Linked DNA regions of Lepisosteus oculatus. The protein of the gene in region 1 purifies or fractionates together with the protein of each later gene. This does not show direct contact. Links are inferred from orthologs where the notes say so. Each region holds a gene or a part of one and is shown on either strand. Other genes may lie near its edges.

Region 1 (7,755 bases):
CCCGACATTATGACACATTATTTTTACACATTGGTCTAAACACCTTTCGGTACAGTAACGACATGTCGCTAACTCTTGCTGGACAAAAACATCAGAATTTAAAGGGATGGTGACTGAGTAAAAACCTGAATACCACTGGAACATAAGATAAGATAAGATCACTTTATTAGCCATATACAATTTCTTACATTAGGAATTCGTCTTTTTCCCCGCATAATCTGCAGGATTTGAACCGGCAACCTTCCAGCCACGGGCGCAAATCCTTAGCCACAGAGCCACCGCTCCGCCCATAGTTGCATCATACTTACCAAACTCAGTAACCTAGAATTCTCCTGTTATAAATAGTTTGGCCACTGTCCTTGATCTTTTGTATTACTACTGATTATGATGAATTAACAGTATGCATTTGCAGTTCACATGCTTGCACAACCCATTGTTGAGGTAAAACATAGGTTATCTTACACCTGCCTTGGTTCTAACTCGTCATGTGGTTACCAAAAATTGCCATGTCACAAAGCAGGAATCAAAGCAGATGTACAAGGACCTACATTACACGACAGAAAACACTTAACTACCCAGATTCCTCACTTGTGTTCAAAAAGCAAGAAGTGGCTCTGGCTTTAAGGAATGAGGTAGCACTCACTGAACTCAAAAGGCCACATGCACTATGCTTCATTCACCATCAGAAAGCAGAAGGTAGCTGTATTTTTGGACCAGCGTGTTACTGATTAACCGTACTGCACTGAAGTAAAACCATAATCGGGTCAAACAAAACAAATGTTTTCAAACTACTTTAACAAGGGTCTGAGCCTGAGGTCCAAAACATTACCTACTCATTCAACATTCTTCAAGACTCAGGTGTACAGGAAATGTCACCATGTCCACGTTTGCTCTTATTATAACCTGACATTAAACATTAAGTCAAAACTACACGCCAACTGTGAAAACTCCAGCTGAATCCAAACCACAAAACACAATGGCGTCAATTAGCTCACTTCCTGATACCAACTGCATTATAAACAGATGGAAAATTTAAGAGACAAGAAGCAACGGCTGCATGAAAAAGAAACTTCGGAAGCACCTTTCTCTTCACGGTACACCTCGGGCTCGATAAGAGATCGGCCCCTAAATGAAGGCACCGATATCAAGCTGGCTTTAAAATATCACAGTGAGAAGTTAACAAGATAACTGCAAGAAAGAATGAACGCCGGCAAGCGTGAACGGCCGGAGCAAGTATAAACTAACCTCACGGGTGGCACTGTGAAAATTACACAGCACGTTCATACATTACGCCGGATTTCGACAGCAGTCACTCTCGGCACAGGGCTGTCAACCGCCCACCAAGACACAACGTGCTGCAGTCCCCACCCAAACACGACCATGAAAGAGACATCCACATGGCAACGGGCTAACCCGCAAACTACACGTACGGTTTCCTGTGCCGGGGCATCTGAAAGTACAGACACGTAGATACACCGCCAGAAAGGAACAAGGCGTTAAAAAGTACAGAAATGTGTTTAAAAGTAGACGGCGTATAGACACGAGATGCTCTCGCACATATGCACACCTAACCGACAACCATTTTGCTGTGATTCTGTCTCTCGTAGAAACAATTATTCCGATTCCCATCACTGCCATGTCCGGCACAACTCCAGTCGGACGAAGAGAAGAATGATCCAGTAAAAAAATAAAACTTGAGCAATGACTGGCCTCGCTTTATGCCTCAATAAATGACTCGATGAACTCCTTTTGTAAAAAAAAAAAAGGTCCGGATCTGAAAGGCCACTAGGAACGGCATGCAGCGTTTTCAACCAAAATAAAGTACACCGCTTTACATAATTAGCATTTAAGCGAACATTTCTCAGCTACAAGATCCACGCTTTTATTTTAACAGTGCTCAAATCCCCGCTAAAGCACACAATGCCATGCTTATGGCGTTTCGTCTATTAACAGCAGAACAAATAAAGAGGAAACCAGGAGGCCCGACTATTTCTACTTGCCCAGGGATTTTTACTGTTTGAAGGGTCGGGGACGACAGCGCTGTGCTACACACAAGGGCAGTTCAACACGGCCGGGGCTCCACTTCGCTCAGGGATGAGACCCCTCGGATGCTCCCCTCACCCCTGTTCAAGCCCAGGCTCGGACAGCGGCGGCCTCGCTAGAGCCCCCGAGAAACACAGAAATGTCCCCTTACAGACACAGTCCGCGATTCCGTTTTTAAGTTACGGTACCGTGAACGTTGCTGTGTGATTTCTGCCTTCCAGAGAGGCTAAAAAAGGAGTATTCAGCGCGGGGGGGAGGGTCGAGAGACCAGGCCTTGAACGATACATTCTCGTGAAAAAATGGGGCGAAACAGGAGTTCACAGGCAGACAACCAAGAGTCTTACTACTCTCGTTTTAAAGATGGATACTTAACGAAGCTCGGCTGGGGATTAACGCAGTACACCCGCCGTGTGCCGCATTTTAGCGACCATGATGTGTCCGCACGCCTGATCCCCCGCACACAGCCCCGCTGCTACTCACAATGGTGACGCTGGCTTTACGCAGGTCCCGGTTCTCCTCCTGCAGCGCCTTGCACTTGAGTTTGTACGTTTCCAGCTCGATCTTCAGCACTTTGTTCTCCTGCTGCAGGGACGCCAGCCGGTTCGTCAGCTCCTCCAGACGGAACGGGGAGATGACGATGCCCGGCTTGCTGGAAGACGAGGAAGAAGTAGAAGACGGCGGGGCGGCCGAGCTGCTGCCCGCTCCATCGGTGTCGCTCTCGCTTGCGCTGTCCGCCATGTTCGCCGAGCGAGTGAGAGGGGCAGCTGCGTTTCAAGCTGGGCGGAGTGCCGGGAGAAGCCTGGAACGGCGCGCAGGGCGACCCCTCCCGCTCGTAGGTGGAACTGCGACCCCGCGCAAGAGCGACGACACAGGCGAAGAGGTACGGCGAGAGAAACTGAGCTCCTTTTCTTCGATGTTTGATGTTCTACGATTGATATTCTAATGACGAAAATGATTATGAAGATACCAGGCACTCTTATGCCCACCCCCTCAGCAGCTAATGCACATTAAATATTGAAAATGAACAGGTCAGCGAACCTTTAGGGTACTGCACCGCCGGGGCCGCACCTGTTTGCAAAAATCTGCAACGAATTTGACATTGTTAAATAGAGCTACATTATTGCCTTGTTTACGAAAAAGAATAAAACGGCAAACATGAATTGTTGTTAGTTGTTTTTTTTTCGCCTCTCCTTTAACTAAGGAATTACAATTGATTATCTGCTCCACGGAGTGTCACGCCCTAAAGACTTGTATGAATGTTATAAAAACCACGTAATAGTGGTTTAGTGCCGACTGTAAATGTGGCCTGATTTCTGAATCATGAATCCGTAACTGTGCATGCACAAAGACAGGGAAAGGAGTAGCAGGTCTCCATATTGTATCTGCCTCTCATAGCTGATCAATTGCACAGAAATGTGAAAATACCCTTGACATAAACATAACAATGTAATAAGATATAAGTCATGAGATAAATGAAACAGGTAGTCTATCAAAAAATGTACTGTATGTATAAAATGTTAAAATAGTAATAGTTTTTTTTGGATTATGTTCCATCTTATTTCAGAGACAGAAGAGCAGAGATACCTACTCAGTACAGTGTTTTTTTCATACACTAATCTTTCACAATCATCGTAATCTTTCGGTTTTTTAAAAAAACTTTTTTTTCATAATGCGTTAACTTTTTTATTTTCTTATTATTCTCATCATCTCACCACATTTTTTATTTGATATTATTTGATTGTTGATGTAAAAATGCCTTTGCTGTGATCTGTTAGAATGACCTTATGATCTTGTCAGCAGCTACCAAATTGTACTGTTCGTTGTGTTTGTATGTTACACTCACATTCCCTGTTACTGTTACTTGTTCTCTGTGTCTGTTTTTACTCCCCAAAATGGTATGTTGTAACCTGATTTACAGAAGTAACCATTCTGACTACAGAAAAGAGGCAGTGATCATTTCATACTCCTCAGTACCGGTGGTGGCATTTCCGCTGTCCTTTTAACTCTTAAGTGACGTACAAAATAAAATAATTATGTATATATAACTGATTATCTCTTGGTTATTATTATTAATAATTCAAAGGACAGAGGGAATGATTCAAACGACAGCGTGAGAACCCGCTTTATTTTTAGGCAAGAACTGTCAATTTCTATTTCATACAGGGGAGTAAAGTTTTTAATGGCGTTTATCATTCGTCTTCTAAACCAGCCTTAAAACAAATGTATGCATTTCTCTTTATGTGCAGCTCAAAGTAGATTAAATGACTGGCGCAGTCGAGAATGGATTAAGCAGGAAAATATTGTTGCAATTATTTTGTTGTGAATCGATTTGTGGACGGGAGTTCGGATCCAAAGTACCGTGCATATGCATGTTGCGCTGTATTTCAACTTCAGTGATGCTACACAAGTGGGGATCAAATAACAATATTCTATCTTTTCGAATCATGTACTGTTGGCGACAGGGCGCTGTTCTCGACGCCTGATGCATCCTCTGTAAAATCTCACTTAGTATTCAGTAGATCACTTAGTATTCACTTAGTAGTATTTAGTTAAATTTAGCTTCCGACTAAATCACAGGTCCCTTGCTGTCTATTCACAACAACATATGTTACTTTTCAGCTGAAACAGCTCTTGGACATTTAGAACTATTACCGGTTTTGCCGTCTCACATGGAATTCGGTTCGATCAAGCACTAAAACAAATGAATACGGAGAACCCCGCATGTCAGTCATAAAACTGCGTAATATTCCCTTCGGCAATGATTTCATTCGAAAGGAAAGACCCGAGCCACACAGAGGCAATATGTGTTGCAATATGCATTTTTTCCCACAATCATTTTATCACTTACCATATTTGCAAGTCGTCTTCATCATTTTGTTTTTATAATCTATGTGTTCTGTGCCAACACACAAAATAGTTGAAAATAGTGTTGGTAGACCAGTAGGTGGTGCTTTTTCCTCTGGACCAGGAATTCCAAACCCATGCTTCAGCATGGTGAAAGGGGACACTGTACAATAGGAGATGCCATCCATCAGCTCTGACATTATAGCAAGGTGCTATCTCCTTGGTCATTAAAACTTTGGTCTTGCATTATCTAGGTAATTGCTGCATTTCAGTAGTGGATGAAGTGGGTCCTTTACTGTATGTAAATCACTTTGGGATGAAACGTACTGTATAAACACAAGGAATTATTACATATTTTAGAAATGTCCCCTGTAAGCCCAACATGCTCTGGAAAAACAAACATCTTTTATTCACTGATTAACTTTATTTGGTATTTTGTTTAAAAACTGTGATAGGATTTACATTTGACCAATAATGAATACAATGCGATTATGCTGTAATGTAGTGTGTATGACATACAAAAAGAGGAGTCAGGAAAATGAATGCTATGGATGAAATTCAACAGCTCAAAGTCAATAAATGTATAACAGCATTGCTATGCTACTTATACAATACATACAATGTTTAAGAAGATCTGTATTATGTGCCTTAAAAACAATCTTTTAGCATGGGTCCATATTCACGCAATGTAGAAATATATTTTTCTTGTGAAATCACACTTCCTTTCCTACAGGACTTTGTAATAGTATGTAGTTCCTAATTTTGCAGCTGAAAAATATTTGAAGTCCAAAAATCCCATTGTAAACGAAATATAAATCAACATACTGTGGGTTTCTCAAAGTTTTTAATAGAATACTGCACAGAAATTGCAGTCCTACACAGTTCAATGTTATAGAACTATGATTTTTTCCCCCAAAAAACATAATCAAAGTGTTTAAATGCAATGTTTCAAAACAATTATTACATTAATCCATTCTTTATGTGGTTTAATTCTAAATTTTTTTGTATCTGGTGAATTAACATTTATTTGGATACATTTGATTAAATCAGTTATGTCTCCAAGCTAAATAACCTCCATCCCCATGCTTCAAAGATATAAAAAGGCAAAATACAGTGACACTAACTGTTTCATGACATATTGTTGGTCTTTTGTTGACCTATGCAGTGATTTCAGTATAATGTATCCATGTTTTTATAAACATGTTGTTATATACAAATCACAAATTTTGTAAGAGGGCTATTTTTTCAAATTAAGAGAGCCTACTCTAATCTAATCTAATGTAATACAACAGTTCTCCAAAGTAATATGCTATTAAAAAATGCTAGATATGTTATATACAGATTCTCAACTCTAAAATGAACACACAGCTTCAGGGTTTAAACACAATTTATTTTATGCTTAAATAATCAACTAGATCATCCAGTGTTTGTTGTTTGTTTCATACATATGTTATTAGAGCTACTATCAATGAATGCTTTAGGTGATTTCATATGAATAGATTCAACAAAAGGAAATATTTCACCAAAACCCAAATAAAAACGCCCTTTTTTAAACCACAGCAGCCTTAGAAACCTATTAATACACTGCTAGAATGATTACAATTAATCGGCTTACAGAAAGACTTCTACATCTTATAGCCAATACACATGATACAGGTAAATTTTACAGCGTGCCAGTCTAGCATATACATTCGGATCATTTCTCTCTCATAGTGTTTCTAGCCTAAGCCTTCAGGAGCTGCCCTTTTAGTGTAGATTTGCAAGCAGTAACCCTTCTATAAGCAGGAAAAATGAAGTCCCTCCCTCCCCTGATTCACATGTTGATGTCTCCAGGATATTTTCTTTAAAAAAACTGGCAATAGTGACAAATGTAAGGGCTATGTGTGTACACAGATAAAAGTTGTTATATACTGTTTGCAAACTTAGAAAAATCGTAATTAAAATAAGGTGAATCGCATGCATCAAAATATTAGTACTCTGAAGAAATGTTTTCACAGAACTACAGATATTCCCATTTTGAGAATTATTTAAAGTCGCGGTAGATTTAAAGAAACTTTCTTCTGGTAAAATCAAGCTAGCATTTTTTTTTCATGTACAAACATTATACCTGCTGATAATTATACAAGAATTTGTGAAGTAACACTCAAACCTTCCTTTAAAATTGGAACCATTTCAACATCGCCATTCAATTCCAATGCACTTTAAAGTTCTTTTAAGTCAGTGCCTTCACAAGATGTAGGCTACTTATTTGAGAATTTATACAGTGTAATTTATATACAGCAAAATCACTGATAATCTTGTTAAAAAGAAATGAAACAGCATTTTACACCCTGACATTATGGGTCCAAGAAAAATATAAGGCGAGTGTAGAAGGTGATTCAAAAGTGTTCCTCTGTTTTCACCTGCCGGTCAGCTTTCGTGCCATCGTTAATCACAGTAATTGCTTGCTTTGCCATTGTTGTTTTTTTATTTTCAATGACTCGCCTCAACTTAAGAAGTCTTATTGACACCATGGCACATCTTGTTTTTAATTTAACACTCCAGGTCATTGAAATAAAGTGAGTTTTCATGCTCATGCTAAATCAAAAAGTCCTCTTGCGTAATACCATGCGTTAATGTGGAAGCTGCAGACACACTTTGAATTCTGCTGATTTTTGTAGATGGTCAGCTGTGATTTCCAGTCATCTCCTCACAGGACACTAAAAAAAGTTGCACACCTGAACAGACACAACAAAAACAGATTATTAAAATCAGAAAGCATTTTTCTTTATTGCCATAGCACAATCAATACATATTACAATCCCTGTATACAGCAGGCTGTGACCAACTTAACTGGCCAGGATTAGCTGGAAACTCCCATAAACAATT
Region 2 (7,167 bases), about 28 Mb from region 1:
TAGAACATTCTGTTTCCACTATGAACATTTATCAAGATGGCCTGCATTCTAAACCAAAGGCAGGACCTTCCAATTACATGCAATGTAATCCTCAGAATAATCCTAGTGTATTTTTTTTTACATCTGTACAGTCAGAAAATGTTTTTTGCAACACACTTGGATGAACCAAACATCGTTGTATTAGACAATAAAATCCAGGACAGTTCTGTGTATTTTGACTTGCTATTCATTCTGAGACAAACTTCTTGTTTATGAACAAGATTTTTATAAGAGTGAAATCTTGAAAATCATCAAAACACATGGAATTATATATTAAGGAATGTATAATTGCAAACAAAATAACATGTGTAAAGTGTGCTATATAATTAACTCTCCACAAAGACTTGCAAAACAAAACGGTCAATGTCTAACAAAAACTGCCATTTGCATTTCTTTAAAAAGGACTGCCAGATTTCTGCTTATTATATTGTTTTACCTATATGGATATACATCTACAGTCCACTATGTAAGCAGCTCACTTTACTGCTACGCTGCTACTTATATCAACCTAACTGAAAGGCCTATAATTAGGCCTATACAGTTTAATTTAAAAAAAGGCATTACACTAGTTTTGTTCACTATAACGCATTCATCCTAATATGAGGACTAAAATGGTCTGAAAACTTGATCAAAGGTACAATAATAAGTTAATATAAATCTTGAGTTAATTTGCTTAAGTGTGACTTAAGTCTACTTTAAAGAACTACAGCATACTAAACTAGTTTTAACTATTTAATAAGGCATAATTTACAAATGTAGATAACGAGAAGCATCTAAAATGCTTTAAATATTCACACGAATTAGTTGAGATGCAATTAACAGCAATCTAAGGCCTGGTTTTGAATTTTATTCAAAAGTATTCAGAAAACACAATATGCTACTTTTGCAATCTTAATCATAAAATTCACTATGCCTTACATAACAAATAAACCAGGGTCACCAACACAAAATTTATATTTATTTCCCTTTACTTACAGTTGTTTAATAATTACACATGGACATGGCTTAGTGTAAATCATCAGTGACTTAGTAACAGCACTACAATCTGCTTAAATATTTTGCAGAAACTTATTTCACCGATTAATAAACAAATTTCAAATTTGACCCAATTAAAATGTCTAAAGTGACAGCTCATATGCCCCAGTTCAGCTGTTGTAAAGTTTACAACCAGATTGTTAAATAACACTGAACAGATCACCGATCCACCTCAGCTTCGTAAACGGGCCAAAAAAAATATAGAAAATCTAAAATTCCAGTTTTGTAAAGCCAAGTTTATTTTCACTTCCAATTTCAATTTCAGGAATTAAGAAAACACTTTGGGCATGATGATAGATTAAGGGGTGTTTTAAGGGAAAATGTATATTTAAATCCCTTGTTAAGCACAATATCAAGTGTATTAGCCATACTAGCTTCTTGATGAAAGAGCAAAAAATGTCCTATATATTTGTTCAAATCTAGGAAGGAGGGGCATCAATGAAATAAGAGGAACAAAAGTGCACACACAATGCAAAGGTCACAGTCAGTGCAACACCGTGACTTAAACCAAAACACTACCATAAAATACAAAAAAGGTCAGCTTGGTGCAATGTGTAATATTGCAGAGTGTAAGGAGTTGTTTTTCACTTGGAAAGTGCTCTAAATAAAGACTGCATTAAGACGTGCATTAAAAACTTGTTTCCAACACATATTTTCATATATTCTACATATTGCAATACATCACTGCAAGCAATAAAATATTCTCTCCTTCAGGTGAGAAATTAAACAATGCTAGGATTCCTCCATCTAAATGAAGCACGGAAACTTAAATCGAAGGGCACTGATCAATATCTTTATCCAAAGACTGTAACAAAACTACACTTGAATCAGCATTTCTCCCACCTACTACGGATCAGATACAAAATTAAACGACTATTGTGCCATATATTGTTTAATTTCTAACTGCTCACATAACTACACATCTGCTTTTATACGGTCCTGTTTTGCTAACAGGTGTTTAAAACCAGAGGTTCCCCTGATCCCTTTAGAAGTATATAGCGGTGTTCTCAGCAGGCTGTCCTCTTCAAAGACTAATTTGATCAGATATTTCGGATACAAAGTAAGCCAGCAGTAGTCTAGGTTACTACAGACATGAGACATGTATATCCAAACTGCAGTTCTCTCGATCCCCGTTGGGGAGACAGTCGTTACCATGTCTGTTACTCTACTCCTGAGACACATTAGGCCTCTTGCGTGCGGTTCGTCAGTAAATATACTTACATGGTCTCCCCAGTCTTTGCGACATGACATAGAAACTGGTCCAGCGTCGGACACACATCCTTCTTGCCTTTCTTCTCAAAATCTACACATAAAGACAGATAAAGGGGGAAAAGTAAGAGCCACATCAGTTGGGTCCCACACAGCCTAGGTGTCTGTTAACCGTATGCTGCAAGGAAAGTTACAGCCACTGACAGGAACTAGCAAAATAAAACTCCACATCAGGATCAGCTGTCTGCAGGAAATTCTCAAACTTTCCCGGCGCAACATGAAGAAAAACACACGATTAAAGTTAAAATGTTTGAATTTGAGCATGTAGTTTTACAACAGCTACAAACGTTGGTTACCGGCTTGGGGTTAAAAGTGCACATTATAACACAACTAGACTACACCAAAACGATTCAAAACACTTCCCTGAGAGAAGACTATTGTTTTAAAGTGTATAATAAGGTATCCAAATAGCCCTTAGTTAAATTTATTCTAAAATTGCACACACAACAACAGCCACATTCAACACCTTACTACTCTTCAATCCTAATCCCGTTCCGACCACTTCTATTCACACTTTTTCGAATGCCGGAACGAAAAAGACAGTAACGTCTACGTTTCACAACCTTTCAGGGCCTCCAGAAGTGTGTCGATTTCCATGATTGTGGCGTGAAATGTTTGAAGCTCTTCACTCCGTCTCTTTCTCCTCCTGAATCCAACAGGAAACAGAAAGCTGGCAAGCAGCGTCCGAGACAAAAAATCAGCACTTCAATATGGCGCCCGTGTCGTCACTGCCTGCCTGCACACACACTGAGCATGTGCGAACTGCCAGGCGGCGCTCATCCTACCTCGTTTCACTACTGTACTACTGGAAACACCATTAAACCCGGGCAGCTGGTTCCAGCCAGTCGCGGAGAGACCCATCAATAACTGCTTCTCAGGGGATTGCGACTTCTCTGAAGTTTGCTAGGTTCTTCTTTTGCAGCCGTGTAGTCAATAGCTTTAAGGTAGCCTTTTTGCTTAAAGATTTTCTATTACTATACTGTCGTTGTTGTATTTGGAAGACATTATCCAAGACAACGTGCAGCACGAAAATCTTTAACAGAACAACTTCTTGAATCATTAAATTTCAAGAGAAAATAATTTTAATTCGTTTTTTTCTGAATAGATATTTTTCTAAATATTTTCTAAATATGTATTCACTAGTGCCATTTTCAATGTAATTGCTTTTAATAAGCTATGTCTATAAAACAAGTCACTGTACAATAAAAAAAATAGAAACTGCAGTATTGAAGTAGTGTTGTAGAGTTACAACAGAGTGACAGTTCTGTAAGCCTGCAGTTATTTACACTACAGCATTACTGCATTTAGTACTACCTTAATTGTACTGCATCAAATGTAGGAGGCTTATTACTGTTTCCAAAAGGCTACATTGTAATTGCAATATTAATATTGCTAAATGTGTATCATTTGAGAAGTGTGCAATACTGAGACGTGGGCTTGATAAGGTTACTTTATGTGAACATGTACAAGATAGGATGAGGTGCATCTATAGTATGTAGAACTGAAGACTTTGCTGCACCCCCAAGGAAGACTGCTAGGGGCACCCCTGCACATGCTTATTGTAGTTTAAGGGAGGCTTTTATAATTGTGCACCTCTTTTCTACTTACTACTTTTGTGCCATTAAGTGCTTTATCTATTTTTTAATTTCACACAGGAGGCACTGCTGTACTTTAAGCTACCATGGACATTTTGCTTTTCTGCTGTATAAACTAATCCCATCATTGTAATACATTTTTAGAAGGCTCATAGCACTACCAACTCGACTGACTCACAGTTTTTCAGATGATTTGTCTTTATGAATTTTCACTTTTGGTGATACTTACCTAGAAACTATTGCAGTCAAGCCCCGTCTACTGTACCATACATTGATAGTAAGCATGCTACTGTAAAGTAGCATCTATTTGCTGTTCTCTTGAACAGCTGTTCATTCACCTCCCCACATGAATTATTGCTGAGTTGAAATTTTTCAGTCAGTGACTTAGGTTAACCATTGACAACTACAAGCAGAGTGGGCCATTTTTATTGCATTGTGTTCTGTATGTTGCTAGTGTTTCAGCAGTCAATGAGTTATAGGACTATACCCTGTCTTAAATTTGATGTCAATAGACAGAATGTAATAATCGGATATTTTATGTTGTATATTTCTAGTTAATGTAGGAGGGTTAGGAGAGAACTTTGTATTCACTTTGACATTATAGTGTATTTTGTGTAAATCTGTGGCAAAAATCCCAATAAAATACATTATGATATTAATATTTAAAATATTTTAGATGTAAAGCCAACAGAAAAAGCCTGTATTTCAAATGTTTTTTTTGTTTGTTTCTGTGTTACTTGTAGGTGGGGATGAGAAGTATGTTTCATATTTCTCTTCAGTACCATTTACTTTGACAAAGTATTAACTCTTATTAAGTGGAGCCAGTCAAGCACTTTGGAAATAAATGTCAGCAAAACAAAAGAATTAGTGCTACACCAATTTGTAATTAGGCAGATTTGAGCCAGCCACACTTCAGCCTATAAATATAAATTGTCAGCTTGTGGACATTCTTCCTTTTAAGTATCTGGGTACATACAGTACACTGATAACAAACTAAAATTCTTAGACAACACAGAGCATGGTTTTTTTAAAAAAAACCCATGCAGAGATTATTTCTCTTGAGAAGGTTGAGGAGCTTTGATGAAAGCAAGCACATCCAAAGATAGTCTATACAAGTCTGGGAGGGAATGTGCTCTCTTTTAACATCTCTACTTGGTATGGGATTCTTGGTACCAGGTGTACAGCTAGGCACTGAAGGATTATAAATATGAGCAGCAAAAGTATTGTTCAGAAATGGAACCAGATGAACCACTTGTATACAAAGAGTGTTTGCAGGAAAAGTAAATGATGCCTCACACCCACTACACTCTTGGTTTGAAAAACTACCATCTGGTCAACAGTTTAGAATCCTGAAGGCTACAAAAACACATTTTTAAGAACTCATTTGCTCAGAGTGTCATTACTCTTTTAAACTCTGATGTATGAGCTCCTTCAGAGCACAGTATTTACAGTATATTTATATGTATGGACAAATTTGAATCTTATATGTTTTTTATTGTATTGTTGTTTATGTGGGATTTATTGTATACAACTCCAGTGCATTAGATGTTTTATGTTTTCTGCATTTGTTGTCTCAGTGAGGTCAATAGAAAAATCCCACTCTGTGTGGACAATAAACTAAATTCTGATACTGATATACAAAAAGATGATTTCCATCCACTGAAAAAAGCAACAGTGCTCAGTACTTTGCAATTTTTTTAAATTCTTGCAACTAACACAAAATATTGAGGTAAAAGAAAATTAAAGTTGCTGAAAAAATAAACAACACTTACAGTTCTTAATTTAATATAAATACTCCAAAATACCTTTTATTATACAAAATCAGAGCCTCCTGGAAGAAGTGGATTAAACCCTTCCCAAGTCACAAAATAAACTTCTATGATAATATTAGGGAGCAGTAGTGTATCAGGCAAATGTCTGGATTGTGGGTCTCACTACTGTTTTAAATTGAGTGAGGTACTTTACCCCTAATTGCACCACCCCACTGTATAAGTGGACACCATCATTGCTGGGGTAATCTCACACCCCAGGGGGATCCTGCTTTCTAGTCTGCTAAGTTTTGGCCAGATAAATTAATGTGGCTTGGATATGGAAATTACCTGCCTATAATAGTTTTATCTGCAATCCACTAAAATTTGCTTTATTTTGGAAAATAAAAGTATCAAAGGGAAGCAGAGTGGCACAGCGCCGGGGTTGTGGGTTCAATTCCTGGGTTGCTATCTGTGTGGAGTTTGCTCCCCCAGAGTTGCATGGGTTTCCTCCAGGTGCTCCGGTTTCCTCCCACAGTCCAAAAACATACTGGTAGATCATTCAGCTTCTGGGAAAATTGGCCCTGAAAATTTGTGTGCTTCTTTCTACCGTGCAATGGACTGATGTCCTGTCCAGGGTGTACTCTGCCTTGTGCCCATTCCTTGCCGTGATAGGGTTCAGCTTCCCTCGCAATCCTGAACTGGAAGAAACAGTTAAAAACTGGACAGATGAATGGAAGTCTAAAAGACAAATAGTATGCAAAGTTTAGTAGAACTTGCATACAGAAATACTCCTGAAATGTGTTTAGATGAGGACCAATACTTCATTCACATTCACTGATACTGCCTGTTCAAACTGAAATATTCAACCTAAAACAGGCACAGATTTTTGAGCAATACTTCTTTTGGACCACTTTAAGGATTATACTAAGGATTTTTCCAGAGCCAACCTCCGTGACATTGAAACACAGGGACCACCAGATTGGTGAGAGGAGAGGGAAGGCCAGCTGGCCCTCTTGCTCACTTGGTTAGTAGTTGTTAATTGACCGCAAGATCTCATCCAAGCATTTCTTGAAACAGCTGATAGAGACAGTTTTAACAATATGGCTAGGCATCCTGTTCCAGACACACACGTCAGGAAACTGGGTTCTGTACAAGACACAGATGTTTTGGTATATCTTGTCCATACATCCATATGTGAATGGCTTGCTAAACGTATAAGAATTTGTATTGCAAATAAAACATAGCGACACAGTATGTCCTTGTGAAAAAATTAATAGCTGAATGAATGGATGACATGTTTAACAAGGCCTCATAAGTAACTGTGTGTGACCACAAAGCAGAACTGATCTCTTGGTATGTTTCCTGGTTGTGTGCCAGCTGCCAGTTCTGTGCACTCTGCTGTTGAGGGATGGCACACAAACAAGGAAAAGCCAACAGTACTTTCACATCTCTGAAAGCCTTACAATAAAAACACAGAA

Evidence for each region.
Region 2: the proteins of ccdc6b (region 1) and ppp4r2b purify together in Homo sapiens (co-immunoprecipitation; 3 studies listed by BioGRID and IntAct, counting the BioPlex papers as one, with this or other methods). This does not show direct contact. The link is inferred for Lepisosteus oculatus from reciprocal best matches to the Homo sapiens genes CCDC6 and PPP4R2.

Annotation. Positions count from the first base shown.
Region 1 is NC_090699.1:22,930,832-22,938,586, forward strand, and holds the start of ccdc6b (coiled-coil domain-containing protein 6b), read right to left. Parts: upstream 3,028-7,755; 5' UTR 2,782-3,027; coding exon 2,524-2,781; intron 1,300-2,523; exon of another isoform or gene 1,285-1,299; coding exon of another isoform or gene 1,246-1,284; intron 1-1,245.
Region 2 is NC_090699.1:51,221,184-51,228,350, reverse strand, and holds the start of ppp4r2b (serine/threonine-protein phosphatase 4 regulatory subunit 2-B), read right to left. Parts: upstream 3,057-7,167; 5' UTR 2,941-3,056; coding exon 2,907-2,940; intron 2,378-2,906; coding exon 2,296-2,377; intron 1-2,295. UniProt on the Homo sapiens protein: Regulatory subunit of serine/threonine-protein phosphatase 4 (PP4). May regulate the activity of PPP4C at centrosomal microtubule organizing centers.